Linked DNA regions of Saccharomyces cerevisiae S288C. The protein of the gene in region 4 interacts with the protein of the main gene of each other region in a biochemical or structural test. Each region holds a gene or a part of one and is shown on either strand. Other genes may lie near its edges.

What was found.
Region 1: the proteins of MCM4 (region 4) and TAH11 form a complex in vitro, tested with the Saccharomyces cerevisiae proteins (3 studies listed by BioGRID).
Region 2: of the proteins of MCM4 (region 4) and CDC7, one has a biochemical effect on the other in vitro, tested with the Saccharomyces cerevisiae proteins (9 studies listed by BioGRID, with this or other methods).
Region 3: the proteins of MCM4 (region 4) and CDC45 form a complex in vitro, tested with the Saccharomyces cerevisiae proteins (5 studies listed by BioGRID).

Annotation. Positions count from the first base shown.
Region 1 is NC_001142.9:520,386-528,022, forward strand, and holds TAH11 (Tah11p), read left to right. Parts: upstream 1-1,662; coding exon 1,663-3,477; downstream 3,478-7,637. Other genes in the region: Hsp70 family ATPase SSC1, read right to left, coding at 1-1,217; ANB1 (translation elongation factor eIF-5A), read right to left, coding at 4,523-4,996; CYC1 (cytochrome c), read left to right, coding at 5,950-6,279; UTR1 (NADH/NAD(+) kinase), read right to left, coding at 6,499-7,637. UniProt on the Saccharomyces cerevisiae protein: DNA replication licensing factor, required for pre-replication complex assembly. Faithful duplication of the genetic material requires 'once per cell cycle' DNA replication initiation and elongation.
Region 2 is NC_001136.10:422,434-427,294, forward strand, and holds CDC7 (serine/threonine protein kinase CDC7), read left to right. Parts: upstream 1-1,775; coding exon 1,776-3,299; downstream 3,300-4,861. Other genes in the region: ERP3 (Erp3p), read right to left, coding at 400-1,077; trans-2-enoyl-CoA reductase (NADPH) TSC13, read right to left, coding at 3,569-4,501. UniProt on the Saccharomyces cerevisiae protein: Serine/threonine-protein kinase. Needed for the initiation of DNA synthesis during mitosis as well as for synaptonemal complex formation and commitment to recombination during meiosis. Required for HTA1-HTB1 locus transcription repression.
Region 3 is NC_001144.5:341,275-349,246, forward strand, and holds CDC45 (DNA replication initiation factor CDC45), read right to left. Parts: upstream 4,668-7,972; coding exon 2,715-4,667; downstream 1-2,714. Other genes in the region: MIM2 (Mim2p), read left to right, coding at 51-314; ERG27 (3-keto-steroid reductase), read left to right, coding at 536-1,579; APC9 (anaphase promoting complex subunit 9), read right to left, coding at 1,696-2,493; LCL2 (Lcl2p), read left to right, coding at 5,311-5,706; tRNA splicing endonuclease subunit SEN2, read right to left, coding at 5,773-6,906; REA1 (AAA family ATPase midasin), read right to left, coding at 7,732-7,972. UniProt on the Saccharomyces cerevisiae protein: Required for initiation of chromosomal DNA replication. Acts at the origin of replication. Also has a role in minichromosome maintenance.
Region 4 is NC_001148.4:594,897-603,711, forward strand, and holds MCM4 (MCM DNA helicase complex subunit MCM4), read left to right. Parts: upstream 1-1,853; coding exon 1,854-4,655; downstream 4,656-8,815. Other genes in the region: RLF2 (Rlf2p), read left to right, coding at 1-1,400; ATP20 (F1F0 ATP synthase subunit g), read left to right, coding at 4,974-5,321; AGC1 (citrin), read right to left, coding at 5,753-8,461. UniProt on the Saccharomyces cerevisiae protein: Acts as a component of the MCM2-7 complex (MCM complex) which is the putative replicative helicase essential for 'once per cell cycle' DNA replication initiation and elongation in eukaryotic cells.

The DNA.
Region 1 (7,637 bases), on a different chromosome or scaffold from region 4:
GACAAGACAGCACCTTGCACAGCAGCACCAATGGCAACAGCTTCATCTGGGTTGACGGCCTTAGATGGGTCCTTACCAAACAAAGATTTAACGGTTTCGACAACCTTAGGCATTCTGGACATACCACCGACCAATAAGACTTCAGATATGTCTGAAGTAGACAAACCGGCGTCTTTCAAAGCCTTCTTGACTGGGTCGACAGTTCTCTTAACTAGTGGGGCTGTCAAAGTCTCGAATTGAGCCCTGGAGAACTTCATGTTGATATGCTTTGGACCTGAGGCATCAGCAGTGATAAATGGCAGGTTGATTTCAGTGGAAACGGTAGAAGATAGCTCAATCTTAGCCTTTTCAGCAGCTTCTCTAATTCTTTGGATAGCCATACGGTCATTTTCCAAATCAATACCAGTTTCGGTCTTGAAACGAGAAACAATCTCTCTCAACAAATAGATGTCGAAATCTTCACCACCCAAATGAGTGTCACCGTTAGTGGACTTAACTTCAAAAACACCGTTGTCAATATCTAAGATGGAGATATCGAAAGTACCACCACCCAAATCGAAAACGGCAACAACTTTAGAGTCGGATTTTTCCAAACCGTAAGCTAAGGCAGCGGCGGTTGGTTCATTGACGACACGTAAAACGTTCAAACCAACAATTTGGCCTGCGTCTTTAGTAGCTTGTCTTTGAGAGTCGTTGAAATAAGCTGGGACAGTGACAACAGCATTCTTAACTGGCTTACCCAAGTAGGCCTCAGCTGTTTCCTTCATCTTGTTCAAGACGAACCCACCGATTTGGGCTGGTGAGTAAGTTTGACCTCTGGCCTCAACCCAAGCATCCCCGTTGGAGTGCTTGACGATCTTGTATGGAACTTGCTTGATATCTCTTTGCACTTCAGCGTCTTCGAAACGACGACCAATCAAACGCTTGGTAGCAAATAGGGTGTTTTCTGGGTTCACTACGGCTTGACGCTTGGCTGGAATACCAACCAAACGTTCTCCCTCTTTAGTGAAAGCTACTACAGAAGGAGTAGTTCTGGAACCTTCGGCGTTTTCAATAATTTTTGGAACTTTACCTTCCATAATGGCAACCGCAGAGTTGGTGGTACCCAAATCGATACCGATGACGGAACCTTGAACCTTGGTTGACTGCAAACGTGTGGCAATACGGAAAGAGCTAGACAAGCTTGACCTGTTTAGTATGTTTTTAGCAGCAAGCATCTTGGTGCGTATAATATGAGATTTGTGTAGTCTTAATTATATTAAATGGGTCGTAAATACAAAAGTTGTCACTCTGGCAAAGGTTGGTGAGCAGCGGGGCGTCGATATGTACAGCAGGCAGAGGAGGACAGCAACGTATGGAGTTTTCAAACGTGGAACAAAGAACCCAAAAGTTCCCAAGCGTCGAGCCGGCGTTGGATCGTTCGTTTTTATACACCGCACCGTAAGCGGTCACCGGAAAAAGAGGCAGGGGGCGGTGGAACCGGGCCGAAGCCCATGGAAAAGCTCTGCCGTTGTGGGTGATATACAATTATTCAGCGCATCTAAGGCACTAGCTTTAGCACATTGTACCATTGCGATGATGCGGAAGAGTTTAATATAAGCAGATGTTAGTTGCGGTAGTTGGTATCATGACAGTGAGCTGAACTACGTAGCGTCGTGATTTATGAGTGGCACAGCTAATAGTAGGAGGAAGGAGGTTTTGCGCGTGCCTGTGATAGATTTGAATAGAGTTTCAGATGAAGAGCAGCTGTTGCCGGTGGTGAGGGCAATTTTGCTACAGCATGACACCTTTCTGTTAAAAAATTATGCTAACAAGGCTGTTCTAGATGCACTACTAGCGGGGCTCACGACAAAGGACCTGCCTGACACGAGTCAAGGTTTTGATGCGAACTTTACGGGTACATTACCGCTAGAAGATGATGTTTGGCTGGAGCAGTACATATTTGACACTGATCCTCAATTACGCTTCGATCGGAAGTGCAGGAATGAGTCACTGTGCTCCATATATAGTAGGCTGTTCAAACTGGGTCTGTTTTTCGCCCAACTGTGTGTGAAAAGTGTGGTTTCTAGCGCAGAATTGCAAGACTGTATCAGCACCTCTCATTATGCGACTAAGCTGACCCGTTATTTCAATGATAATGGTAGTACACACGATGGTGCAGATGCAGGTGCTACCGTGCTGCCCACTGGCGACGATTTCCAGTACCTGTTTGAAAGGGACTATGTTACTTTTCTTCCGACGGGCGTGTTGACCATCTTCCCCTGTGCCAAGGCTATAAGGTACAAGCCATCGACTATGGCGACGACGGACAATTCTTGGGTGAGTATTGATGAACCCGATTGTCTTCTGTTCCACACGGGGACCCTCCTTGCGCGCTGGTCTCAAGGTATGCACACTACCTCACCACTCCAGATAGATCCTCGTGCGAACATTGTTTCGTTGACCATCTGGCCTCCACTTACTACGCCAATCTCGAGTAAAGGAGAGGGTACGATTGCCAATCATTTGTTGGAGCAACAAATTAAGGCTTTCCCAAAAGTCGCTCAGCAATACTACCCACGGGAGCTTAGTATTCTAAGACTCCAAGACGCAATGAAGTTTGTTAAGGAGTTGTTTACTGTTTGCGAGACTGTATTGTCTTTAAACGCTCTTTCCAGATCCACGGGCGTCCCACCAGAGCTGCACGTTTTGTTACCCCAGATATCCAGCATGATGAAAAGGAAAATAGTGCAGGATGATATTTTGAAGTTATTGACCATTTGGTCTGATGCATACGTAGTGGAACTGAACTCTAGAGGGGAGCTGACCATGAATCTACCCAAAAGAGACAATCTAACAACGTTGACCAATAAGTCTAGGACTTTGGCATTCGTGGAAAGGGCAGAGTCGTGGTACCAACAAGTGATAGCTTCCAAGGATGAGATTATGACTGATGTACCCGCTTTCAAAATAAATAAAAGAAGGTCCAGCTCTAATTCTAAAACAGTCTTGAGCAGTAAAGTGCAAACGAAGAGCTCTAATGCTAATGCCTTGAATAACTCAAGATATTTGGCGAATAGTAAGGAAAATTTCATGTACAAAGAGAAGATGCCTGATTCGCAAGCAAACCTTATGGACAGACTGCGTGAAAGAGAGAGACGTTCGGCCGCATTGCTTTCTCAAAGGCAAAAACGTTACCAGCAGTTTCTAGCGATGAAAATGACTCAGGTATTTGATATTCTTTTTTCGCTGACCAGGGGCCAGCCTTATACAGAGACATATCTAAGCTCGCTAATCGTAGATAGTTTACAAGATAGTAATAATCCTATCGGTACAAAAGAAGCAAGTGAAATTTTAGCTGGGCTACAAGGTATCCTACCAATGGACATATCTGTTCATCAAGTGGATGGTGGGTTAAAAGTTTATAGATGGAACAGTTTGGATAAAAACAGATTTTCTAAGCTGTTGCAAATCCACAAATCAAAACAACAAGATTGAAGAATATTTTTAGATATAAGGTAGAATACGTACATTTACGGTAAAAAAAAAAAAAAAAGAAAAAAAATTGATCTTGATACATACGTTGGTATTTTACTTTGAAGACTGTGCATTGTGTATGTACGAAAAGAAAGGGAAATAAAAAATAACGACAACTGCAGGACTCGAACCTGCGCGGGCAAAGCCCAAAAGATTTCTAATCTTTCGCCTTAACCACTCGGCCAAGTTGCCTTTAATCTCTTGAGTTTGTTTAAGGACAACACTGTCCACCTGGCATGGGAATATTACCATTATTCCAGATTCGGGCTTGTTATTAGGACTTTTTACCAGCTTGATTTACCGGTCATTACTTATCCTACACATCATACATCACAACTACACTTGGTGAAGAAATCACAGAGCCTTGGATTTGTAACAATTATATGTTTACGCAATTTATCTTGGGAAAGCAGGGCCTCATTTGTGGACATAGCACGGTCTGTCACCCTCGTCGTGCAAAAAATATTTTGACTTCTACTCTTTTTGAAGTTTCGTTGATCGGGTCCCTTCCAAGGAAAAGTCGAATGCTGTCACTGCGCATATAAAGGCGAGAACGATAGTGACTGTGATATTAAGTTATTGTCATCATATAAGTAATTTTTTCTCTGATATCTGTAGCCCTAGTTTTTAATATTTTCGTAAAATGCTCAAAAAAATTTCTGTTTAAATTCTTCTGGGGTATATACACATGTTCCCGTCAGCTAAATTAAAAAGAAGAAGGAACCGAAAGAAGGCAAATTATAAAGTAATCATCCTCGGCATATTGAGGGGAAAATATCCGTCAAAAAAAAAAGTTCTGCACGTCGTCATAAGTGACTATGGTATCAAACACCAATTAACACGAACGTAGCGATAATGAAGGCAACTTCGTAGCTGAAACAGAACGAAGTTAGTTAGGATGAATAATTATGATTATGATTATTATAATATTATATAAAATGTATAAATAAGATTTCTAGATCAAAAAAACATCGCGTATTTTGTAAGCTATAGAAATCTAAAATATCTAATCAGATCTTGGAGCTTCCTTGAAGGAGATGGCAGCTTCTTCACCCATGGCAGAAATGATAGTGACCATCAAATCCTTACCTTCATCGAAAGCAGCTTGCATGCTGTCACCCAATTCACCTTCTGGTGCCTTGACATCGTCTTTGGTTTCACCGTCCATGGTCATCAAGGACAAGTAGCCATCATCAATATCCAACAATTGGTATTCGCTTCTCTTGACAAATGGAACTTCCAAGTTGTGAGTGGATGGAGACAAATCTTCCAACTTCTTACCAGTGAAGATATCAAGGGTAACCAAATGGACCTTGGCGTGACCGTGCTTACCGGTCTTGGAAGTGGACATGTCGACAATCTTACATGGTCTACCTTTGATGACAACGAAACCATTCTTTCTCAAGGCAGAACATTGCATTGGGTAGGTGGCGGAGGCACCAGCGTCAGCATTTTCAAAGGTGTGTTCTTCGTCAGACATGTTTTAGTGTGTGAATGAAATAGGTGTATGTTTTCTTTTTGCTAGACAATAATTAGGAACAAGGTAAGGGAACTAAAGTGTAGAATAAGATTAAAAAAGAAGAACAAGTTGAAAAGGCAAGTTGAAATTTCAAGAAAAAAGTCAATTGAAGTACAGTAAATTGACCTGAATATATCTGAGTTCCGACAACAATGAGTTTACCAAAGAGAACAATGGAATAGGAAACTTTGAACGAAGAAAGGAAAGCAGGAAAGGAAAAAATTTTTAGGCTCGAGAACAATAGGGCGAAAAAACAGGCAACGAACGAACAATGGAAAAACGAAAAAAAAAAAAAAAAACACAGAAAAGAATGCAGAAAGATGTCAACTGAAAAAAAAAAAGGTGAACACAGGAAAAAAAATAAAAAAAAAAAAAAAAAAAGGAGGACGAAACAAAAAAGTGAAAAAAAATGAAAATTTTTTTGGAAAACCAAGAAATGAATTATATTTCCGTGTGAGACGACATCGTCGAATATGATTCAGGGTAACAGTATTGATGTAATCAATTTCCTACCTGAATCTAAAATTCCCGGGAGCAAGATCAAGATGTTTTCACCGATCTTTCCGGTCTCTTTGGCCGGGGTTTACGGACGATGGCAGAAGACCAAAGCGCCAGTTCATTTGGCGAGCGTTGGTTGGTGGATCAAGCCCACGCGTAGGCAATCCTCGAGCAGATCCGCCAGGCGTGTATATATAGCGTGGATGGCCAGGCAACTTTAGTGCTGACACATACAGGCATATATATATGTGTGCGACGACACATGATCATATGGCATGCATGTGCTCTGTATGTATATAAAACTCTTGTTTTCTTCTTTTCTCTAAATATTCTTTCCTTATACATTAGGACCTTTGCAGCATAAATTACTATACTTCTATAGACACACAAACACAAATACACACACTAAATTAATAATGACTGAATTCAAGGCCGGTTCTGCTAAGAAAGGTGCTACACTTTTCAAGACTAGATGTCTACAATGCCACACCGTGGAAAAGGGTGGCCCACATAAGGTTGGTCCAAACTTGCATGGTATCTTTGGCAGACACTCTGGTCAAGCTGAAGGGTATTCGTACACAGATGCCAATATCAAGAAAAACGTGTTGTGGGACGAAAATAACATGTCAGAGTACTTGACTAACCCAAAGAAATATATTCCTGGTACCAAGATGGCCTTTGGTGGGTTGAAGAAGGAAAAAGACAGAAACGACTTAATTACCTACTTGAAAAAAGCCTGTGAGTAAACAGGCCCCTTTTCCTTTGTCGATATCATGTAATTAGTTATGTCACGCTTACATTCACGCCCTCCTCCCACATCCGCTCTAACCGAAAAGGAAGGAGTTAGACAACCTGAAGTCTAGGTCCCTATTTATTTTTTTTAATAGTTATGTTAGTATTAAGAACGTTATTTATATTTCAAATTTTTCTTTTTTTTCTGTACAAACGCGTGTACGCATGTAACATTATACTGAAAACCTTGCTTGAGAAGGTTTTGGGACGCTCGAAGGCTTTAATTTGCAAGCTTCGCAGTTTACACTCTCATCGTCGCTCTCATCATCGCTTCCGTTGTTGTTTTCCTTAGTAGCGTCTGCTTCCAGAGAGTATTTATCTCTTATTACCTCTAAAGGTTCTGCTTGATTTCTGACTTTGTTCGCCTCATGTGCATATTTTTCTTGGTTCTTTTGGGACAAAATATGCGTAAAGGACTTTTGTTGTTCCCTCACATTCCAGTTTAGTTGTCGACTGATACTGTTAATAAACTCATCGGGCGAGGCTTCCACGGTTGGAAAAGCATATGGGCTGGCGCATATGGTTATAAAATCACCTTTTTGCAATTCAATTCTATCTTTCCCATCAAAAGCCGCCCATGCTGGAGCCCTTGACTTCATCGAGACTTTCACTTTTAAATTTATACTTTCTGGTAAGATGATGGGTCTGAAACTCAATGCATGTGGACAAATGGGTGTTAAAGCGATTGCATTGACGGTTGGGCATACCAATGACCCACCTGCACTCAAAGAATAGGCCGTGGACCCAGTCGGAGTAGCAGCAATCAGTCCGTCCGCCTGCGCAACGGTCATTAATGAGCCGTCACCATACAATTCTAACATGGATAGAAAAGGACTTGGACCACGATCGATGGTCACTTCGTTCAAAATGTGGTGTGTGCTTAGTTTTTCCACCACACATATTTTCTTCCCCGTGTTTGGGTCTACTTCAGGGCGGTGTCTACGATAAATTGTGCACTCCAACCTCAACCGTAAATTTGTCTTGATTTTATGATTCATAATCCGAGGTAAATCCTCCCTGAAATGTTCAAACTTAAAATTTGTTAAAAATCCTAGAGACCCTAATGAAAACGACATAACGGGTGGTACATGTCTCTGAAAAATGGAACTTACAAAAAGAACAGTACCGTCGCCACCCAAAGTCACTACCAAATCGAAGAAAACATCATGTTCCCTGATGAAATCCTTTGTCCAATACTTGATCCTTGATTCTCTACATTTACTATCTTCACATAACTCGCCAGCGGCAAATTTTTTGCTGTTTTTCAATTCGGAATCCACATAAACAGTCACACGTGGAAAATGTACCAAAA
Region 2 (4,861 bases), on a different chromosome or scaffold from region 4:
ATCCTTGTATTTTCTGGCACACTTGCTTATCACTTCTTTCACTAAAAATATAGTTTAACACTCCAAGAGGAATACCATCCCCAAGCGAGTTGATTGACTGCAAGTGTAATTAAATAGGTGGAAATTGCATGGTGCATATGCCAATGGCTAAGAAAAAATTACTCTTACAAAGATTATTTTGTCAATTTCTCGAAGAAAACAATGCTACATTTTGAAATAGGATTTTTTAAATCGTGACATGTGCTTTAATAGAAACGTCACTTCAGCTCTGTCATTACATAAGATTTAACATGAGCAAAAGGGCTATTTTGGATACGGTATGTCATTCCTTTCCCCTATTAAATATGAAGAACATATATTCTCAAGTTGATAGAAAATGCAGGAACAATACACAACTATTTACACATTATGCTTTCTCGATTCTCTGAAAATGAACTCCAGTATGGCAATTTGAGCGCAGCTCATTCCGATGATTAATAATATGCCGTAAATAGAAAACATTACAATTCTATGCTCTGTTGAACAAACGGTGTGATGATTTCTGGTGTTTCTGCTTTTATAGTACTGTATATTACGTTCCAAAACGTGGAGCTGCCTTTCTATGGTGTCTATAGAATTTTCCACACTGTCTTGCAAGGGATCGGTTTTAGAGTCTCTCAGGTTTCTCTGCGCCTTTCTCGCCTTGCGTCTTTCATTTCGAATATCATCTTGGCGTTCACAATTGTACTTGAAGTCCAGATCAACAATCTTGTCGTGTGCTTTACCACCATAAAAGCAGATAGCATATTCTCCCTTATGTTGGCCTATAAATGACCATTCACCTTGACGTTCACCAGATCTCTCGATTATTGGCTTGTTTTTGTCATCAGGAGCAAATATTTCGTAGTTAACATCAAAGTCATTGCTCTCTCCTTGCTGTACTGCAAAATAATATGAGATTGTACAGTCAATTTCCGGAGTTAGCGTATATAAGCACTCCTTTCGACCTTTATTCAGTTCAAATGTCAACGGTGATGCCTCAGCAAAAAATTGTGCTAAAAAAAAAAACTGGAAGAAAAGTACACATAAATTGGACATGACGGAGTTTTTTAGTCAGTTCACAGTGTCCCTTCAAGTACGGTAACTATCAAGAGCCTTACCAGTTTCTGTCAAGATATTGTCCCCCCAAATTCTTTCATTGAGGAGAGGATTATGAAGAACGCGTTCTGTTTTAAAGAGAGAAAAATTCAGGTCAGGACGCGTTGGTCTCACCTTTGTTGACATAATGACCATGACAGTGTAGGAAGTCTAAGTAGTATGTGGAAACCTACGCGATCATACTGATACGTTCGTAAACTTTATCAACGAACGACGCTTTTTTTTTAAACCTCTATATAAGCATGTTTTTAGCTTGGGAAATTAAGGTGTAGCCCTGGTTTTGAAGATAATTAAGAATCTAATGGGGCAATGCTTGTGTAGATGACATTTTATAGAGTAAAATTACTTCCCGTTTAGCTCGATAAACGCCTTAGGCCTACATAAATCTTAAACATTTGTCCCCGGTCAGCTTTTAAATTATGTCTTCTTTGCCCTGGGGCGTCTTCTTGAACGGCATCAATTTAGTGAGTAGAAGAGCACTTCACATTTCCGCCTAAAATCAATGCAAGAACCATTAACAAAAAAAACCGCTCAGCAGGCGTAACGGGAAGTAACAGACTACCTTAAATTTTCAATAACAATTGTGCTATTATCTAATTTTCTTAGGAAAGAGGCAGTTTCGAAGTAGAACAATCATAATGACAAGCAAAACGAAGAATATCGATGATATACCTCCAGAAATCAAAGAAGAGATGATACAGCTCTATCATGATCTACCGGGTATAGAAAATGAATATAAACTCATAGACAAGATCGGTGAGGGAACATTTTCGTCAGTGTATAAAGCCAAAGATATCACTGGGAAAATAACAAAAAAATTTGCATCACATTTTTGGAATTATGGTTCGAACTATGTTGCTTTGAAGAAAATATACGTTACCTCGTCACCGCAAAGAATTTATAATGAGCTCAACCTGCTGTACATAATGACGGGATCTTCGAGAGTAGCCCCTCTATGTGATGCAAAAAGGGTGCGAGATCAAGTCATTGCTGTTTTACCGTACTATCCCCACGAGGAGTTCCGAACTTTCTACAGGGATCTACCAATCAAGGGAATCAAGAAGTACATTTGGGAGCTACTAAGAGCATTGAAGTTTGTTCATTCGAAGGGAATTATTCATAGAGACATCAAACCGACAAATTTTTTATTTAATTTGGAATTGGGGCGTGGAGTGCTTGTTGATTTTGGTCTAGCCGAGGCTCAAATGGATTATAAAAGCATGATATCTAGTCAAAACGATTACGACAATTATGCAAATACAAACCATGATGGTGGATATTCAATGAGGAATCACGAACAATTTTGTCCATGCATTATGCGTAATCAATATTCTCCTAACTCACATAACCAAACACCTCCTATGGTCACCATACAAAATGGCAAGGTCGTCCACTTAAACAATGTAAATGGGGTGGATCTGACAAAGGGTTATCCTAAAAATGAAACGCGTAGAATTAAAAGGGCTAATAGAGCAGGGACTCGTGGATTTCGGGCACCAGAAGTGTTAATGAAGTGTGGGGCTCAAAGCACAAAGATTGATATATGGTCCGTAGGTGTTATTCTTTTAAGTCTTTTGGGCAGAAGATTTCCAATGTTCCAAAGTTTAGATGATGCGGATTCTTTGCTAGAGTTATGTACTATTTTTGGTTGGAAAGAATTAAGAAAATGCGCAGCGTTGCATGGATTGGGTTTCGAAGCTAGTGGGCTCATTTGGGATAAACCAAACGGATATTCTAATGGATTGAAGGAATTTGTTTATGATTTGCTTAATAAAGAATGTACCATAGGTACGTTCCCTGAGTACAGTGTTGCTTTTGAAACATTCGGATTTCTACAACAAGAATTACATGACAGGATGTCCATTGAACCTCAATTACCTGACCCCAAGACAAATATGGATGCTGTTGATGCCTATGAGTTGAAAAAGTATCAAGAAGAAATTTGGTCCGATCATTATTGGTGCTTCCAGGTTTTGGAACAATGCTTCGAAATGGATCCTCAAAAGCGTAGTTCAGCAGAAGATTTACTGAAAACCCCGTTTTTCAATGAATTGAATGAAAACACATATTTACTGGATGGCGAGAGTACTGACGAAGATGACGTTGTCAGCTCAAGCGAGGCAGATTTGCTCGATAAGGATGTTCTCCTAATATCTGAATAGCAAAGTGATAAATTACTGCTAGTCTGAAATAATTTCCTTTTCTTTGGAAAGAGAATTTTAAAAGTACTTACATATTTGCATAGTGAAAGATTTAAATAAAAATTTCTTAAAGTGAAACGGTTTAGCATAATTGGTGGCATGCGCTTAAGATAGTGCCAAATACCAAAAGGCACAGGTGCAGACGATACTTAAACAATAGTGCTACTACGCCACTTCGTGAAAGCTAATATCTCTTTACCTTGCATTTGGGCATGTTGCAAACAGGAGGATCAAAATACAAATGGAATCAAGAATGCTCTTCTGGTATGATACTTTTTGTTTTTCTTTTGAGCCCATGCGTACATTTGAGCTGTTGAAACAGTCAAAAATAAAACGGCAAATAAATTGAACTTGAACACAAAAGTAAACCAAATCCAAGACCAAACTTCAAAAGTATAGTTGGGAGCAACAAAAAGATTGAAAATACCTTGATTCAATGGGACACGGATCTTAGCGTTACCATGCTTCTTTTGATAGTCACCCCATAGGCGCAATTTAATGTGGCAATAAAAGTTCCATAGTTCTGAAAGCACGAAAAGACCAATTAATGTACTCAAGTCATCCAATTTCAAATATGAATAGTATTTGAATAACTTAGCATTCCCAAAGGGGAAGCCGTAGCCAAAGTAACCGAATGAAATGAGACCGCTTAGAACCCAGTAATGGAAACAATTTTTGAACAGGTTGAAAATTGGCATAGTAGCTAAAGAGAATTGGTGAACAAATAAGGTTTCAAATAATCTCTTTCCATAATGTCCTAAAATTAAAAAATATGCAACCCTGTTTAAAAATGGATTATAGTCGGAGCTAGCACTGTGCCATCTATCAACAACTGTGGGAATGGTAGATAGATAATAAAAAAGGGAGTGAACCAAGACTGGACCCAAATACTCACAAAAGAAGACTAATCTCCATGAAATTTGGGGACCCAAATCTTTGATGAAGAATTCCATTGAGTCATCAGCCTCTTCTTGAAAAAACGATTCTGAAATAACCGGAACTTGTTTAGATTCCTTTTTGTAGGTTAATCTTATCCTGTACTTGCTGATATTGTGGTTATTAGCAGAGATTTTTTTCAAAACATCATCTAAAGTAGGCTTTTTGGATAAGTCAATTTCAGTGTCCCTTAACCCTTTAGAGCGGCTTTTTATGGTGATAGGCATTTTCAAATTAAATTCAAAATATGTATCTCTCTCAAATAGCTCAATTGGTTTCTAGATAGCTAAATAGAATATAATCTTACTGTCCTCCGTTCTGTAAAATTCACGCTCTTAGTCCCTTTTCATAATTCCTTAACTTTTTGCGTACAAAATGATATGTTTATTATATTTTTCTTTTTTTTTTTTCAAATTTTTTCTTTTTCTTGAAAAATTTTTCAAATTGGAAAGCTCATCTCTCTTGAATGTATAATACTTTCTTCCTCTAACTTTCAAAAAGTTTTACATAGCCAAGAAGTTTTCCTTACATCGGTATACTACTGTTATATAAGTTATTCTTCGAGAAACAATTAGATATCATTCATC
Region 3 (7,972 bases), on a different chromosome or scaffold from region 4:
CACTCCCCAGCACCACAGCACATCACTGCACGAGCAACAATAACTAGAACATGGCAGATAGCGAGGATACCTCTGTGATCCTGCAGGGCATCGACACAATCAACAGCGTGGAGGGCCTGGAAGAAGATGGTTACCTCAGCGACGAGGACACGTCACTCAGCAACGAGCTCGCAGATGCACAGCGTCAATGGGAAGAGTCGCTGCAACAGTTGAACAAGCTGCTCAACTGGGTCCTGCTGCCCCTGCTGGGCAAGTATATAGGTAGGAGAATGGCCAAGACTCTATGGAGTAGGTTCATTGAACACTTTGTATAAGTGTTTGTTGTTTATGTATCCGCATATAGCAGTTATAACAGATAAATGGCACTTTTCGCACACCCGTTGTTTTATCTCCGATAGTACGTGGGCCTTTATTTATGGTCGTTTAACGAAAGAACGGCATCTTGAATTGAGCAGGTATTTAAAAGATAGGACGAGAAACAAGCACATGATCTGTGTCGAAAAAAAGTAGCAAAGAGAAAAAGTAGGAGGATAGGATGAACAGGAAAGTAGCTATCGTAACGGGTACTAATAGTAATCTTGGTCTGAACATTGTGTTCCGTCTGATTGAAACTGAGGACACCAATGTCAGATTGACCATTGTGGTGACTTCTAGAACGCTTCCTCGAGTGCAGGAGGTGATTAACCAGATTAAAGATTTTTACAACAAATCAGGCCGTGTAGAGGATTTGGAAATAGACTTTGATTATCTGTTGGTGGACTTCACCAACATGGTGAGTGTCTTGAACGCATATTACGACATCAACAAAAAGTACAGGGCGATAAACTACCTTTTCGTGAATGCTGCGCAAGGTATCTTTGACGGTATAGATTGGATCGGAGCGGTCAAGGAGGTTTTCACCAATCCATTGGAGGCAGTGACAAATCCGACATACAAGATACAACTGGTGGGCGTCAAGTCTAAAGATGACATGGGGCTTATTTTCCAGGCCAATGTGTTTGGTCCGTACTACTTTATCAGTAAAATTCTGCCTCAATTGACCAGGGGAAAGGCTTATATTGTTTGGATTTCGAGTATTATGTCCGATCCTAAGTATCTTTCGTTGAACGATATTGAACTACTAAAGACAAATGCCTCTTATGAGGGCTCCAAGCGTTTAGTTGATTTACTGCATTTGGCCACCTACAAAGACTTGAAAAAGCTGGGCATAAATCAGTATGTAGTTCAACCGGGCATATTTACAAGCCATTCCTTCTCCGAATATTTGAATTTTTTCACCTATTTCGGCATGCTATGCTTGTTCTATTTGGCCAGGCTGTTGGGGTCTCCATGGCACAATATTGATGGTTATAAAGCTGCCAATGCCCCAGTATACGTAACTAGATTGGCCAATCCAAACTTTGAGAAACAAGACGTAAAATACGGTTCTGCTACCTCTAGGGATGGTATGCCATATATCAAGACGCAGGAAATAGACCCTACTGGAATGTCTGATGTCTTCGCTTATATACAGAAGAAGAAACTGGAATGGGACGAGAAACTGAAAGATCAAATTGTTGAAACTAGAACCCCCATTTAATATATCTCTGCGTACATATGTATATATATATATGTGTGTATATACATGTATGTCTGTATAGAAAACGCATATCAACTGATATATATACACGTGAAGCAAAAAAGGCATTGCCTCTGTCAGAGAAACGAACTATCCTCGTTGCTATAGTGTCTTCTGCACTTATCGCGTAGACTTTCTATTGGCACTCTGTCATGGCATTTAATCTTGTACACATTCTTTAATTCTTCTTGCAAAAGAAGGTACTCTTCATGCAAATGATGACTTTGGAGTGAATTGACTAATCCTGAGTCGTTCCAGAAACTTTTTAAGGCGTTCGTTTCATGATTTATTATGTCATCCAACCGTCTCATATTAGGTTTCGAATTTGTTACAAATTCTCGCCTTGATAACCTCTCCAGGTCTTCTTTGTTGCATCCAGGTACACTCTCTAACAACATTGAACCATTGCCCTCCGGATTCGCACTGTCATATTTATTAGCCTCTTCGCCGCACATGATGTCAATATCGGGTCGATAGCTGTCTATGCCGTCTAGATGGCCCACCTTATGAAACACAAGACAATGTGCTGCCCTTTCGGCTTTCAAAAAACTGTCAATTCTACTTTCCCTTAGCGTATTGCGCTCACAAAACGGTGAATAATCGTATTGCTTTTCTTCCTCGATGTGGCTCAAAGTATTCAGATAGTCGACTTCGTCTACGTCCATATTTATCCCATAGAGATCATCTGCAGTCCTCTCCTCTAGTACTTCGCCTGTTATGGGCATCGAATCATCATTTATTACCCTTGTCGACCTTTTCCGTAGCGGTGTGGTAAAATTGTTAAAGTTGGCTTTGTTGAACCTTGGTGTTTTCCAGGGCGGCAATGACGGTAGTTGAAACAACTTGCCTTCGTTCTTATCACCATTTTGGTTCATCTTACTTTGTCACAGCTATTTCTTTCCTTCCTGAATTTGTCCTTCCAAACCTAGTTCCCTGTTCTTAATTTCCTTTTATTTAGGTTTTTTTTTTTGTTTTGTCAAGAGCCGCGCACAAAATATGGTATTATTATAGAAAAGTTGGACTTAAAAGCTTGAAAAAGCTTAGATTTTATATTCATATGCTGGTATATATGTACGACTAAATAATATAAATTTGATTATAACAATCCACTCAAGGTCAGCTTCTCCAGGAATGGTGAAAGATCTTCACGACGTATTTCAATTATGGAACTTTCAAAATTATCTATTCTCACTTTAGCATCCGTTTCTGCAGTTATTTGTTGAAACGCCATGCTGAAATTATTCAAAATAGGTTTTTTTGTGTGTATCGTGTCTAGTCCGCGAGGATACCTAGGTGTTAACCCAGCAACCAAGTAAGTGTCCGTATTTTCATCTATGCTGGCAAGCACCATGGGCAACAATTGCTTGTCTTCAGATTCCGCACAGCATTCTATGAGCCAATTTCCTAATCTTAATAACGTCAATGGGTTTCTGTACAAGTCTAAATCGGGTCCGTCTTGTAAGACGCATAATCTATAAATTCTTAAATGCTTGATTAATTTCTTCTCCAATATAGCAACCCCGGTATTAAAAATTGCTCTCTGTAAGTCTTGTGCTAGTTGAATGCCACGGTTTAATAGTTCCACCTTTCTGTCATCTAGAGCATCCCAACTGAGCCAAAAATTCGAAACCCATCTTTTTCTCAAATTCGTCAATTTTTGAGCGCTGTTATCTTCTTCTTCCTCTCCATCTGTATCGTCATTATTGTCATTATTTATTTTCACACTATCCTTATCAGTTGAATTACCTACTTCCAAAAGAGCTGTTAGTGCTTCGACAAATTCACTGGCACTTATGGACCCACGATATCCAAGAGTTCTAACAAACCCATCTCTAATTATATCTTGCAACCCATAACGATCCAAATTTTTGTCAAATATTATCCCAAGTTCTCTCTTAATAGAATGATCCATGTATAACCATGTTTCTTGTGCAGTACTTAATGGTATACCCATTCTAGCAAACATCTTATGCAATCTCTTTTTCCCATTTTCATTCCATAGGGATAGTTTGGCATTGACATAGTTAGAATAATAAAAACTGTCGTACAATGAAGAATGCCTCAGTAAGAAAAGGTAGTAATCCGGTTGGATGTTTAACGTCAATGTATCAGGGGTCTTTACTGAGTTTCTACTGCTTGGTGTGAGACGCTTCACTTCATCTTGCAATAAGGGGTATAATCGATTGTAAACTTGAGCATATGCTATATCTAACGAGGTCGTACCAAGTATATTCAACCACAGGTTTGAAAGATTTGTTTCTCCGATAGCAGACAATAATGAATAGATTTGTGCAGATATCGAGTTAACCACTGTTGTGCCTTGAGAATAGTATTCCTCCAAAACACCTTCATATTCATGGATTTGCTTCTTTCGTTGCTTTCTTTTTGAGAGATCATTCGGTCCTATTGAAGAATTACCTCTTTTATTAGATATTGTCTCATCTTCGTCTTCTTCGTCCTCGTCTGTGACTTCATCGGCATCAGTTGCCTCATCGTCACCCCCATTATTATCGTTCTCGTCACCTGAGAGCTCATCGTCACCACTCTCCTCGTCCAGTTCAAGCAATTTATAGTATGCTTCTTTTTGTTCGCCTAATGTGTCATCCACCGTACCGTCGTCAAAACATTGGATGATTTGTGATCCAAATATATTGTCGAGATTCCACGGTCTATGAGCATCCAACACGTAGATGTCTCTCCTGAAACTTTGTTCCCCCGACTTTTCATCTGTATCGATAACATACTCTTGGGGATCGATTTCTAAGAAAGCCTCCAGATCAATAACGCCTCCAAACCCTACTAATAGCAGACTATTTATATTGTCATCCAATTGAGAATAGTGGCGTCGTAATTCAGAGTACCCAAATATCGGTACTATTTGAGATTGTACCAATTGTTTTTTGAATAATAGTGACAACATCTTCGTCGCACACAGCGCATCGATGTTAAGACAAGAAACGAAAATGACCAATTGACATGATGAATGAGACGATGAATTCCTTAAGATTTTGTTGTAGGCTTCGCTAAACTGGCTGATTCCATAATACATGTGCGAGAGTATATTCTTGTTATTATGTGCCTTCTCTCTAGTGTTTATTGCTACACTTTTATTGCTCTATAGTGCGTTGTATAAAGTAGCCACAATGGATTGTTGGCATTACTACAGCTTCATTATTTACTGAAATTTCTTAAAACGCGTTAGATGATATGTTGAAAAAAAAATACGCGTCGTGAATGAAACTTATTAGGTTTTACGACTAGTTAAAGCAAGAGAGAGAAGATCGAATTGACTAAATGTCTTCACTTTGAATTTATTCTAGTAGGATTCGCATGGCTTTTTCATAATAAAAATCTCGTTTATTTATGCTTTTGGTTGGTTTTCCTTTGATAAATGCGGCCCTTGCTTTGTTTGTGGTTGCAACGAGTTCGTCAAATGATAAATTGACGCTTAACACAGACGCATGGGAACCACGTAATTGAATTAATGTTTTCTTCTCGAAACAATTGCAATGTGACTTTCTTGTTAGGCAATGTGAGATGAAAGATGGCCTTTACCTTTGCAGATGTTTGGGTGTGGCTCTGAGCTGTCCTTTATAATTATAGAGATAATTTTGATGAAAGCTCAGAAGACCTTTAATGACGAAAAATAGGCATGGTTTGCCAGGCAAAAAACGACCAAATTTTACTGTAGTATGAGTCAAAGTCGCTGGAGTATCGTTCTCATCTTTGCATTGTTTATTTTTGGCAGCACTGGAGTGAATGCCTTCTTCAATTTCGGTCATCATCAGCAACAGCAACAGCAACAGCAACAATCATATGAAGATCAAGTTTTAAATAACCCTTGTGATGGGTATTTGTGTCCGGACACCCTAACGTGCGTTGCACAGCAGAAAGACTGTCCTTGTCCCTTCCCTAAATCTCAGTTGAAATGTGTCCTTCCTGATAATAAATTTGTTTGCATATCCAAACCAGCCACACACAATGAAAAGTTTAGAGCAATATATGATGACCCTGTCAAGGGCCCCAAAGCAAAGAACAAGGGGTTTAGGGATTGTGGATGGGTATCAGATGCTTACAAAAACCATTGAAATCTGTATAAAAAATACATACACATACATATATACATACGAAGGATTTATCTTCTCATTGATATTCTAGTCTCTATTTCTTCCGGGAACCCATCTCTTATACAATACTTCACCAACTTGAAAACTATTGAACAATTTAGTAAAGTTGTTTGATTTCCATAGTGCTATCGCCTCCTGTTCCGAGATTAGTCTCTCCACGTAGCATAACACAAACGTCTTCTTTGCGCCGCCCACAACACGGGCTATGCTAGAATACCACGTATAATCTTTAGAGACGTCGTGGTCAAGACCCATAACACAAAATTCAGCGTGTTGAAATGGTGGCCCTCTCTTATATAATAAATAATCGCAGCCGAATTTTATACCAGATCTTACGCACCAACCGTGTGATCTGTAGTGATGGTATATAACGTATGATCTGACAAAGGAGTGAATATCTTTATATTTGGCATCGAATTGAAACAGTTTCCCTGCCAGGCACGCGGGAGATATGTCAAGAACAGGAAGTGCAAAAGTTAAAAACATAGCTTCCACTGGCATTAGTTCTAGTGACTCTAGTGGCAAAAGATCACCGTTCTCATCAAGAAGATTGTTGTCTTCATCTCTTAAATTTGATTCGGAAATGTCTTGCTGTTGTGCAACGATGCCCACGTCTTCTGTTTGTTTTAGTTTAAATTTTCTTAATGATTCTCGTTGTTTCTCAAGGAGGATGTTTTCCTCATCGATATGACCACCTTTTTTTCTTAATTCTAGTAATTCTCTTTCTAACTTCGCACGTTCTTTCTTGAACTCTAATCTTTGTAATCTCCTCTGTTGTGTGACCTTCTCTAAAGTCATCTCCGTTTCAGTATTACTCTTTGTTCCTCCCCGATTGTGGAGGGGAGTATCATTGAGACCCAGTCTGGCCTCTGTTCTAGCTTTCCATGTAGGCTCACTCCTGCTAAATTGACCAGTGCCAAAAAATCCATTATTCCAAAGATATAGCATTTGCTTGTCATCTTGAACCGTGATGTGAAGAGTGGTATCTCCTATAAAATCTACATGTACTTTATCGTTCAGTGCGTTCGTACTCTTGTAATAGCGGTATGCCCAATATAGCCAAGATAACGGATTATGAAGGATTAACTCTGGAAGGTCATCTACGGGGTGAATTGGAAGAGGATACTTGTAACGCTTCTGATTGACCCTCCCTTTAGACATGCTCCTTCTTGAGTCCTTCGTACTTATTGTCTTTTCAGCGTCGTGTTACAATGAAACGTTTTAGCATATTGAATTTCGATGGAAGTTCAAATGTTTTATGCACCGAAATGAAATACTAGAGCAAAGAGATGTTAGTGAAAGCACCAGCTAATATAGCTCTTTCAAATTTACGTGAAAAAGTTATGTGTGGCAATATAAATCTATAGCAAGAGTGGCTTCTATAAAACATTTTTGACAAGAAATAAAATTCAGATACCGTTGTAGTCTTGAGAAATCATTGTGCTCACATCGATTAACTTCGAGCAACATAAATCATGCTATCATCATTAAAATAAAGTGGAAGTATTAAGAACAGATATAATAGCACGAGAAAAAACTCGTTCAACTAAGTCTAGACACACCTCCTGGTGTTATTTAGTCCGTTCTCTTAACAACCAAAGCCTACGAGCTCTCAAACAGCTCTTTTGTTTTAACTTCCTATAGAACTGAATGGGAAACTTGCATCTTGAAGAAAATTTTTCTCTTTAAATATCTGACTGAAGTATTGATCCCTTCAAAAAAAAAAAAAAAGAGAGTTGGTTACCCATATGGGAATAATATTTCTTAGGGCTAATTGACAAAGGATTGCTAACAGAAAATGCAAAGGACTAATAACTTGAATCATTTTTATATCAGGTTTATATAGGTATACGTTCAGTCTAATTAATAATTTATAGTTTACAGTAGTTTTTTACAGTAGTTTTTTTTTTTTTTTTTCAGTTCCATGATTTTTTTGTTCCTTTGATTCGTGTAGTAAACCTCCTCTTCTTGGTTTTCACGATATACTTAGCTGGATGCCAGGTCTGTAAAGTATTGACGCAAAATCAGTGAAAGCATTTCGGGTAGTTCGCTTATATCGTGTACAACAACATAAAATTCAAAAGGAAATGTGTCCAAGTATTTGGTAATCTTTAATTGCGGATTGCCATACTGATCTGGAATGTAGTTCACTTGGCTCATGTCTAAGATGGATTCATTAGAAGTAATACCATCTATGATGACAAAAACCAGCATAATTTTGTTTTCT
Region 4 (8,815 bases):
AAAGAGAAAAGGAACTAAAAAAGCAGCAACGTGCAGAAGAGAAACACAGAAAAGAGTTATTACGACAAGAAGAGAAAAAGAAAAAAGAGCTAAAGGTAGAAGAGGAAAGACAAAGGCGTGCTGAGCTGAAAAAGCAAAAGGAAGAGGAAAAGCGTAGAAAGGAAGAAGCCAGATTAGAAGCCAAAAGAAGAAAAGAGGAGGAAAGATTGAAAAAGGAGGAGGAAATACGTTTGAAAGAAGAAGCCAAGGAAAGAGCACAATCCCGTATTGGTAACTTCTTTAAAAAACTAAGCGATTCTAATACGCCTGTGGTTGAAAAGTCGGATTATGAAAAATTTTTTCTACCTTTCTATGCTAAAGATGGAGTTAGAGTCAGTAATAAGTGGAAACTAACAAAAGTGGAGCTGGAAGGTAGCAAAAGAAAAATAGATGATGAATTACTGAACAGTAAAGATAAAACAAGTAGTGACGACTTATTGAATTGGTTACAGTCTAGAAGATTACCTAGAGGACATAAAATTAAACGTAAAGCTGTTGACGTTCTACAGCAAATGCCTTTGAAGGAGAAAACAGACGATGAGCTCCAATCTTTACTTGCACAAGTTCCGCACAAATATATAAAATTCTACGAAAATGTTAGACCTCCGTTTATCGGAACCTATTCTATGGACTTTACTTTGCCACCAAACGATCCCTTTTCTACGAAAGGTACTGGATTCAATTATGATTACGATTCTGACGTTGAATGGGTTAATGAAGAAGAAGAAGGCGAAGTCGATAACTTAGAAAGTGGTGAAGAGGAGGAGGAGGAGGAAGATGATGAAGACGTACCTAGCGAAGGAGAGTTTGACGGGTTTCTAGACAGCGAAGAAAACAGTGATTTGGATGGCCTACCCTGCGCCAAGAGAAAATTTGTAGGCCCATTGATACCAACAATATGCCTAAAATCCAATTTTGAAAACTTATCAGAGGAAAATAAACGATACTTACAACAACTCAAGGCCGAAGTTATCATAGAAACCGACGGGCCAATCGATCCATTCAAAGAACCCAAAACATCGTCTCTACCATCCAAAAGAAGTAATTCCGACTTACAGGCACAGACCGCTAGCCAATCTCAAAGTCCCGAAAAGAAACAAAAAGCAATGATTACAGACCCCATGGACTTACTTCGACTTTTTGATGGGGTTCAAGACAGCACGTTTTCTTTGGGTACTGTGACTGAAATAGCACAGAAAAATTTGCCGCAATACAACAAACAAACAATTAAAAACACCATAAAGGAATATGCCATAAGAAGTTCTGGAAAGGGTGATTTGCCCCGCAAATGGGTAATCAAAGACGCACAAAACTGGGAGAATCTTCGAGCCAATGCAAATATGCCAACCCCGTCTTTGTAACTTGAACGGATCTTTAGTATATAGAAACATACAGATAAACTGATTATTTATTGGTATACATGAAAAAGGCGACAACACTACGATCGACAGTCAAGCCTTTTGGACTTTGAATAAAATCCAGCACTTCTCGCATGCAACAAAAGAAAATCTTCTATATAAGCTGAACTACATTTATCTGTGTCAGCCAACTGCATGTTTTATATCACTTCTTTTTGGAATATTACGAGTAGATTCATGAAAACGCAAACACTTGGTTTACTCTTTCGGGAAATTTAATGCTAGTTCGCCGCCTCGAAAATGAAAAGAGAAGAAGAGACCAGAAGAGCAACTTCGCATTGGCACTGTTTATTTCTTTAAGAACATCTTCAATACTAAATAAGACAACCCATCTTCAGTTATTTTTACTCTTGGTAGAGCCCAACTTAGGATCCTTTTGAACCTCAAGAACTTAAAATGTCTCAACAGTCTAGCTCTCCAACAAAAGAGGATAATAACTCCAGCTCCCCCGTTGTGCCTAATCCTGATTCTGTTCCACCACAGCTTTCTTCCCCAGCTCTATTTTATAGCTCCTCTTCATCACAAGGTGATATCTATGGTCGCAACAATAGCCAGAACTTAAGTCAGGGAGAGGGAAACATCAGAGCTGCTATAGGTTCTTCTCCACTAAATTTTCCATCTTCTTCCCAAAGACAAAATTCCGATGTTTTCCAATCTCAAGGCAGACAGGGCAGAATTCGTTCTTCTGCGAGCGCTTCTGGAAGGTCTAGATATCATTCTGATCTGAGAAGTGATAGAGCACTGCCTACTTCTTCCTCTTCTTTAGGCCGTAATGGTCAAAACCGTGTACACATGCGAAGAAATGATATTCATACATCTGATTTATCCTCTCCAAGAAGAATTGTGGATTTTGATACTAGATCCGGCGTGAATACTTTGGATACTTCTTCTTCTTCTGCTCCTCCATCGGAAGCCAGTGAACCCTTGAGAATAATTTGGGGTACCAACGTCAGTATCCAGGAATGTACAACTAATTTTCGTAATTTTTTGATGTCTTTCAAGTATAAATTCCGTAAAATATTGGATGAAAGGGAGGAATTCATTAACAATACTACCGACGAAGAACTATACTATATCAAGCAGCTTAATGAAATGAGAGAACTTGGTACCTCTAATTTAAACTTGGATGCTAGAAACTTACTTGCTTACAAGCAAACAGAAGACTTATACCATCAACTATTAAATTATCCTCAAGAAGTGATTTCTATCATGGATCAAACTATCAAGGACTGTATGGTTTCCTTAATAGTAGACAACAATTTGGATTACGATTTAGATGAAATAGAGACCAAGTTTTATAAAGTAAGGCCTTACAATGTAGGTTCTTGTAAAGGTATGCGCGAATTGAATCCAAATGATATTGATAAATTGATAAACTTAAAGGGTCTTGTCCTGAGATCAACTCCGGTTATCCCTGATATGAAGGTAGCGTTTTTCAAATGCAACGTCTGCGATCATACAATGGCAGTGGAAATTGATAGAGGAGTTATACAAGAGCCCGCTAGGTGTGAACGTATTGATTGTAATGAACCCAATTCCATGTCACTGATTCACAACAGGTGTTCATTCGCAGATAAACAAGTCATTAAGTTACAGGAAACTCCAGACTTTGTGCCTGATGGACAAACGCCTCACTCTATCTCATTATGTGTTTACGATGAATTAGTGGATTCTTGCAGGGCGGGCGATCGTATTGAGGTGACTGGCACGTTCAGGTCCATCCCCATTAGAGCTAATTCCAGGCAACGCGTACTAAAGTCGTTGTATAAAACATACGTCGATGTGGTCCACGTTAAAAAAGTTTCAGATAAGAGGTTAGACGTCGATACTTCTACTATTGAACAAGAATTAATGCAGAACAAGGTAGATCATAACGAGGTCGAAGAAGTAAGACAAATTACTGATCAGGATTTAGCAAAAATTCGCGAGGTTGCGGCAAGAGAAGATTTATACAGTTTATTAGCCCGCTCTATTGCCCCAAGTATTTACGAGCTAGAAGATGTCAAGAAGGGTATATTACTTCAGCTATTTGGCGGCACGAATAAAACCTTTACCAAGGGTGGCCGTTATAGAGGTGACATAAATATTTTACTTTGTGGGGATCCTTCTACTTCCAAATCGCAAATTTTGCAATACGTTCACAAAATTACTCCTCGTGGTGTGTATACTTCGGGTAAAGGTTCATCTGCCGTTGGTTTAACTGCTTATATTACAAGGGATGTCGACACAAAACAACTTGTTTTGGAAAGTGGTGCATTAGTATTGTCTGATGGAGGTGTTTGTTGTATTGACGAGTTTGATAAAATGAGTGATTCTACAAGGTCCGTCTTGCACGAAGTCATGGAACAGCAGACTATTTCAATCGCAAAAGCGGGAATTATCACAACACTTAATGCCAGAAGTTCTATTTTGGCCAGTGCTAACCCAATTGGTTCACGCTACAACCCCAATTTGCCTGTGACTGAAAATATTGATCTACCGCCCCCACTACTTTCGAGATTCGATCTGGTCTATCTTGTCCTTGATAAGGTTGATGAGAAAAATGACAGAGAACTAGCCAAACACTTAACAAATCTTTACCTGGAAGATAAGCCCGAACATATTTCTCAAGACGACGTGCTACCAGTTGAATTTTTAACGATGTATATTAGTTATGCAAAGGAGCACATACACCCAATAATCACCGAGGCCGCTAAGACTGAGCTTGTTCGTGCTTATGTAGGAATGAGAAAGATGGGTGACGATTCGAGATCCGATGAGAAGAGAATCACAGCTACCACAAGACAACTTGAAAGTATGATTCGTTTGGCTGAGGCGCACGCCAAAATGAAATTGAAAAACGTCGTAGAGCTGGAGGATGTTCAAGAAGCCGTTAGATTAATTAGATCAGCCATAAAAGATTATGCAACAGACCCTAAAACCGGTAAAATCGACATGAATTTAGTTCAAACAGGTAAATCAGTTATTCAGAGAAAACTACAGGAGGATTTGTCAAGGGAAATTATGAATGTTTTGAAGGATCAGGCATCAGACTCAATGTCATTCAATGAGCTTATAAAACAAATCAATGAACACTCTCAAGATAGAGTTGAGTCTTCTGATATCCAGGAAGCCTTGTCAAGATTGCAACAAGAGGACAAGGTCATTGTCCTTGGCGAGGGTGTAAGGAGATCAGTTCGCCTGAATAACCGTGTCTGATGCTGTCTACTACAATCATTCCCTGCGTAACAATTAATAAATACTAATTAATTATAGCAAGTTTGTATTTTTTACATCCTTATGCTTTGTAACACTATTCAATACTGTATGTAGGCTCGATTGAGTGGGCGGCTTTTTTCTTATTCCTGATTGGCTGAAAGAAAATATTGTTAAACGCACTAAATTTATCCCGAAGGATGATTACATTTAAAGACCGAAAAATGAAGATGCAAAGATCCCTCATATTTTCTACTCCAGTCCAAATCGACAAGATAAACCTGCCGATAAATCATATTTCAGAACGCTAATCAATTCATCATGCTAAGCAGGATCCAAAATTATACCAGTGGGTTGGTTTCTAAAGCAAATCTTTTGTCATCAAAGGCTTTATACTATGGTAAAGTCGGTGCCGAGATTTCAAAACAGATTTATTTAAAAGAGGGTCTTCAACCACCAACTGTTGCCCAGTTCAAATCAGTGTATTCGAACCTTTATAAGCAGAGCCTAAACTTTGCTCTAAAGCCTACAGAAGTTTTATCGTGTTTAAAAAACATCCAAAAGAATGAACTATTAAAATATGGCGCATATGGTATTCAGTTGATAGGGTTTTATTCTGTCGGTGAAATAATTGGAAGAAGAAAATTAGTGGGATATAAACATCACTAAGCTTTTTAATTCTATCTATTCGCAAAACCCTTGTATATTCGTTAATTAAATTAAATCAATGTACAAATAGAACAAAACTAGAAAAAAGAATATATATTCATCTCAATTCTATTTATTTTCTTTTCATGACATACAATGGCATTAAAAGCGATATCGAGTTATATTACATTAGCTTCTTGCCGCCAGTTATTTATGAAATAGGCCAATATAACTTTTCTGTAAAAAAGAAAACTTGACCTCAGAGCTTTCATTACACTTATTAAGAACAACATACTTGTTGCACTATAGTAAAAACTACAGTGAAATTGATCTCAGGATCATTAGTAATTTTTCTCACTATAAGAAAAAAAAAAAAACATATATTTTGCTATGAATTATAATAAGTAAATATATACATATATATGTACAGAGAAACTGACGAAGAAAATAAATCACCCGTTAATGCTTCTTAGGTGCTCTTGAAAGTTTTTATAAACTGAAGAGTCAAACCTAGAAAAGTTATTGTCCAAATCAATGAATGTTTTCGCAATTTGACAGCTTTTATAGTAATAATTGGCATGTTTTCTATCATCAGAGTAAAACTTTTGCTGTGGGAGTTCACCGTTACTATGAACTACTGTCTCTTCATTGCCTGCGTCGTCATCGATACAAAATCTCTTCCTACCCTCTCTGCTTTTTAATTTGTTATCGGGGGAGGGAATAAAGCCCTTGAATAATTCATAGGCGGCCAGAGTGAACCCAAATTGGGGAGAACTTCTTAGGACACGGGCTCCACCACCTTTGAAAAAGCTTCTAAAGCTCTCTTCCTTTAAGATAGTTCGGATAGCATGAAATATACCGTTATACTTTGTCTCACCTTTTCGAGGATCTATCTGGAGCCTTGTTTTTATAACATCAAAAGGAGTAGTCAAGAAGGCAGCTGGCATACCAGCAATGGCACCGGCAGTTAAAAGCTCCCATGTTTTTAATCGATTCCTCTTTGTTTTATCATTTGGATCAAAATCAAAGAGATCTTTTTTTAAATGTGCATAAGTGGGAAAATAAATAGCAGAGAATGGAACATCTCTCATTAAACATGCGGCTACACCATTGTACAAGCCCCTCAGTCCTAATTTTTTGACTATTTGAGTGGCAGTTTCATTGGCTTGTTGTATGTTTTCACCAACATAGTCGGATTGGACCTGTAGCCTAATTTTTACAATCTCTAACGGATTAGTAAATATAACTTGACATGCACCAGCTGAAGCGCCAGAAATAATTTCAGGAAAAAGGCTTAGCTTGCCGTTTTTATCAGTCAACCTGTTTCTCATAAAATCATTGACAGTCAATTTTATCGCCTTTTCAGGAGCAACTCCTATTAATTGTGGCCCTAAGCCAGAGTAGAGACCTTTTATTCCTTCGCGGGATATAATCTTCAACAAACAATCAATTGAGTTTTTGTATTGGGCTAAAGATCTTTGGGCTTGCATCCTTGTTTTTATAAAGTCTATTGGGTATACTACAGTTGCACCAATACAACCCGCAATAGAACCCAAGGAGAAATTGTACAACGAATCGAAAATTGGATAAAAGTAGTAATTAATATACAATGACTCATTTTGATTTTTTTGCAATTCCATTTGGTGAACTAAGTCGTTCAGGTAATTTGGGTTCAAAATTTTCATGAAATCTTCAATTGTTAAGTCAGAACGCATCGTTGCTTTATCTTTTTTACCTCCAAATACAGATTCAAACAAGCCAGTACTCGCTTTTGAAGCTTTTTTAACACCAGAGTCTTGGTCAAATCCATCCGAGAGATCATGATAATAGTCATTAAAACTTTCTAAATTTTTTCTGGATCTGCTTACTCCATGCAAATACTCATTATGGATAAAAAAATCAATATCTGAATCATAATGGTGATCATTTAATAGCTCGTCATCTCGATCTTGATTTCTCTTTCTTAATCTTCTGTTTTCCTTTGAATTTGCGACGATAGAAAATAGTAGGTTGATTTGGGAAGGAGAGAACTCAATGATATTGTTTACTTTGTTATACTGGGCGTTTAAAACTGTCATAAAGTCATTTTTAGTAACTATTTGTTCCCTAATATCCTGCTCATTCAAATTATTTTCAGTAACATACTTGTGAAATATTTGGTTCAGTAGGTCAAAATTTTGAAATAAATAAAATATATCCTTGAATACATTGTACGGAATGGAATTATTGTCCGCTTTTAGTAATTCGGTGTTTGATAGATTCAAGGAGGAAAATATATCTGCAGACACCCTGTGAGAGTAAAATAACCTTAGAAGATAGGTGAGTTGATTTTTGCTTAGGGCTAAACGATGCCCTTGTGAGTCCATCTGTGCCAACCTATCAAAACCTATAAATATTTTTTCATTCTTAAGATCATTTTGTAAAATCGTGACCAGAGAGTTTAAACTCAAATACTCTTCATTTTCATGATAACATTTGTAAAATTTCAGAAATCGAAAGTCATTCCAATCAAGTAGTAATTTGTTATCTTTAACAAAATTATCATCAATAGATTCGTGCAACAGGCGGATAGTATCTTTGAATTGGTTCAGATTCAAAAGAAGATCATCAAAGCTTAGAAATCTGTTACCATAATTAATTGACTTAATTCGATCATCTGCAGCCTTTAAATTAAACGACGAACTACCAAGCTCTTTTTTTTGTTTTGCCTTCAAATTCTCTACATCAAATTTCCTAAAGAACTCATATAGAATAATGAGATGATAATTATCATATTCTAATAAATTATTAAAATAAAACCAATCATTAAGCGTCAGATATCCCTTGTTTTGTTCATCAATAGCGAAGAAAATACACCCGAAAACGTTCTTGGGTATCTGGTTCAAATTGAACGAATGGTCCGTAAACTTCGAATAAATAGTCTTTGAGCTAGATATCAGTTCAATGAAATCGTCGTATGTTAAAATTAGTTCTCCTGTAAGCTTCTCCGTGTCAGGTTTCCCATTTCCTGCTGTGAGTTTACTGGAGTTCACTGTCGGCATATCTAACATACCATTACTGATACTAATAGGCTTGTCCTCTTTTGTAAGGACACTTGCAAAATATTTGAATACTTCCAATTGTTGCTTCTTTTTTCTACTGTTCGAATTGATTTGCTCCATAATAGTATAATAATTCTTTAAGGTCGGTAGCAAAGCTGCATACTTTCAAACTACGCTATGAAAGTTATGTACTTTTCCAGTGAAATATGTTCACAAAGAAGGGATCAGGCTACTTCGAAAATTATGGCAAACGCGAGGTTGTGAGATAAAACTTGAAAGTCTGGTGAGATTAGATATCAAATCTTAACATATAAAAGACAGGTTCGTCTTGAGGTATTTATCTATCTTCGAAATATTTTTTTCTTTGCTTCGAATACTGGTTAATTCTGAGATTCAATATATGTTTCGAGATGTTTTTCCAACATGCCGGCAGTACTCCCCTAAAGCGATGCTGCAGAAATTTTTCATAACCGC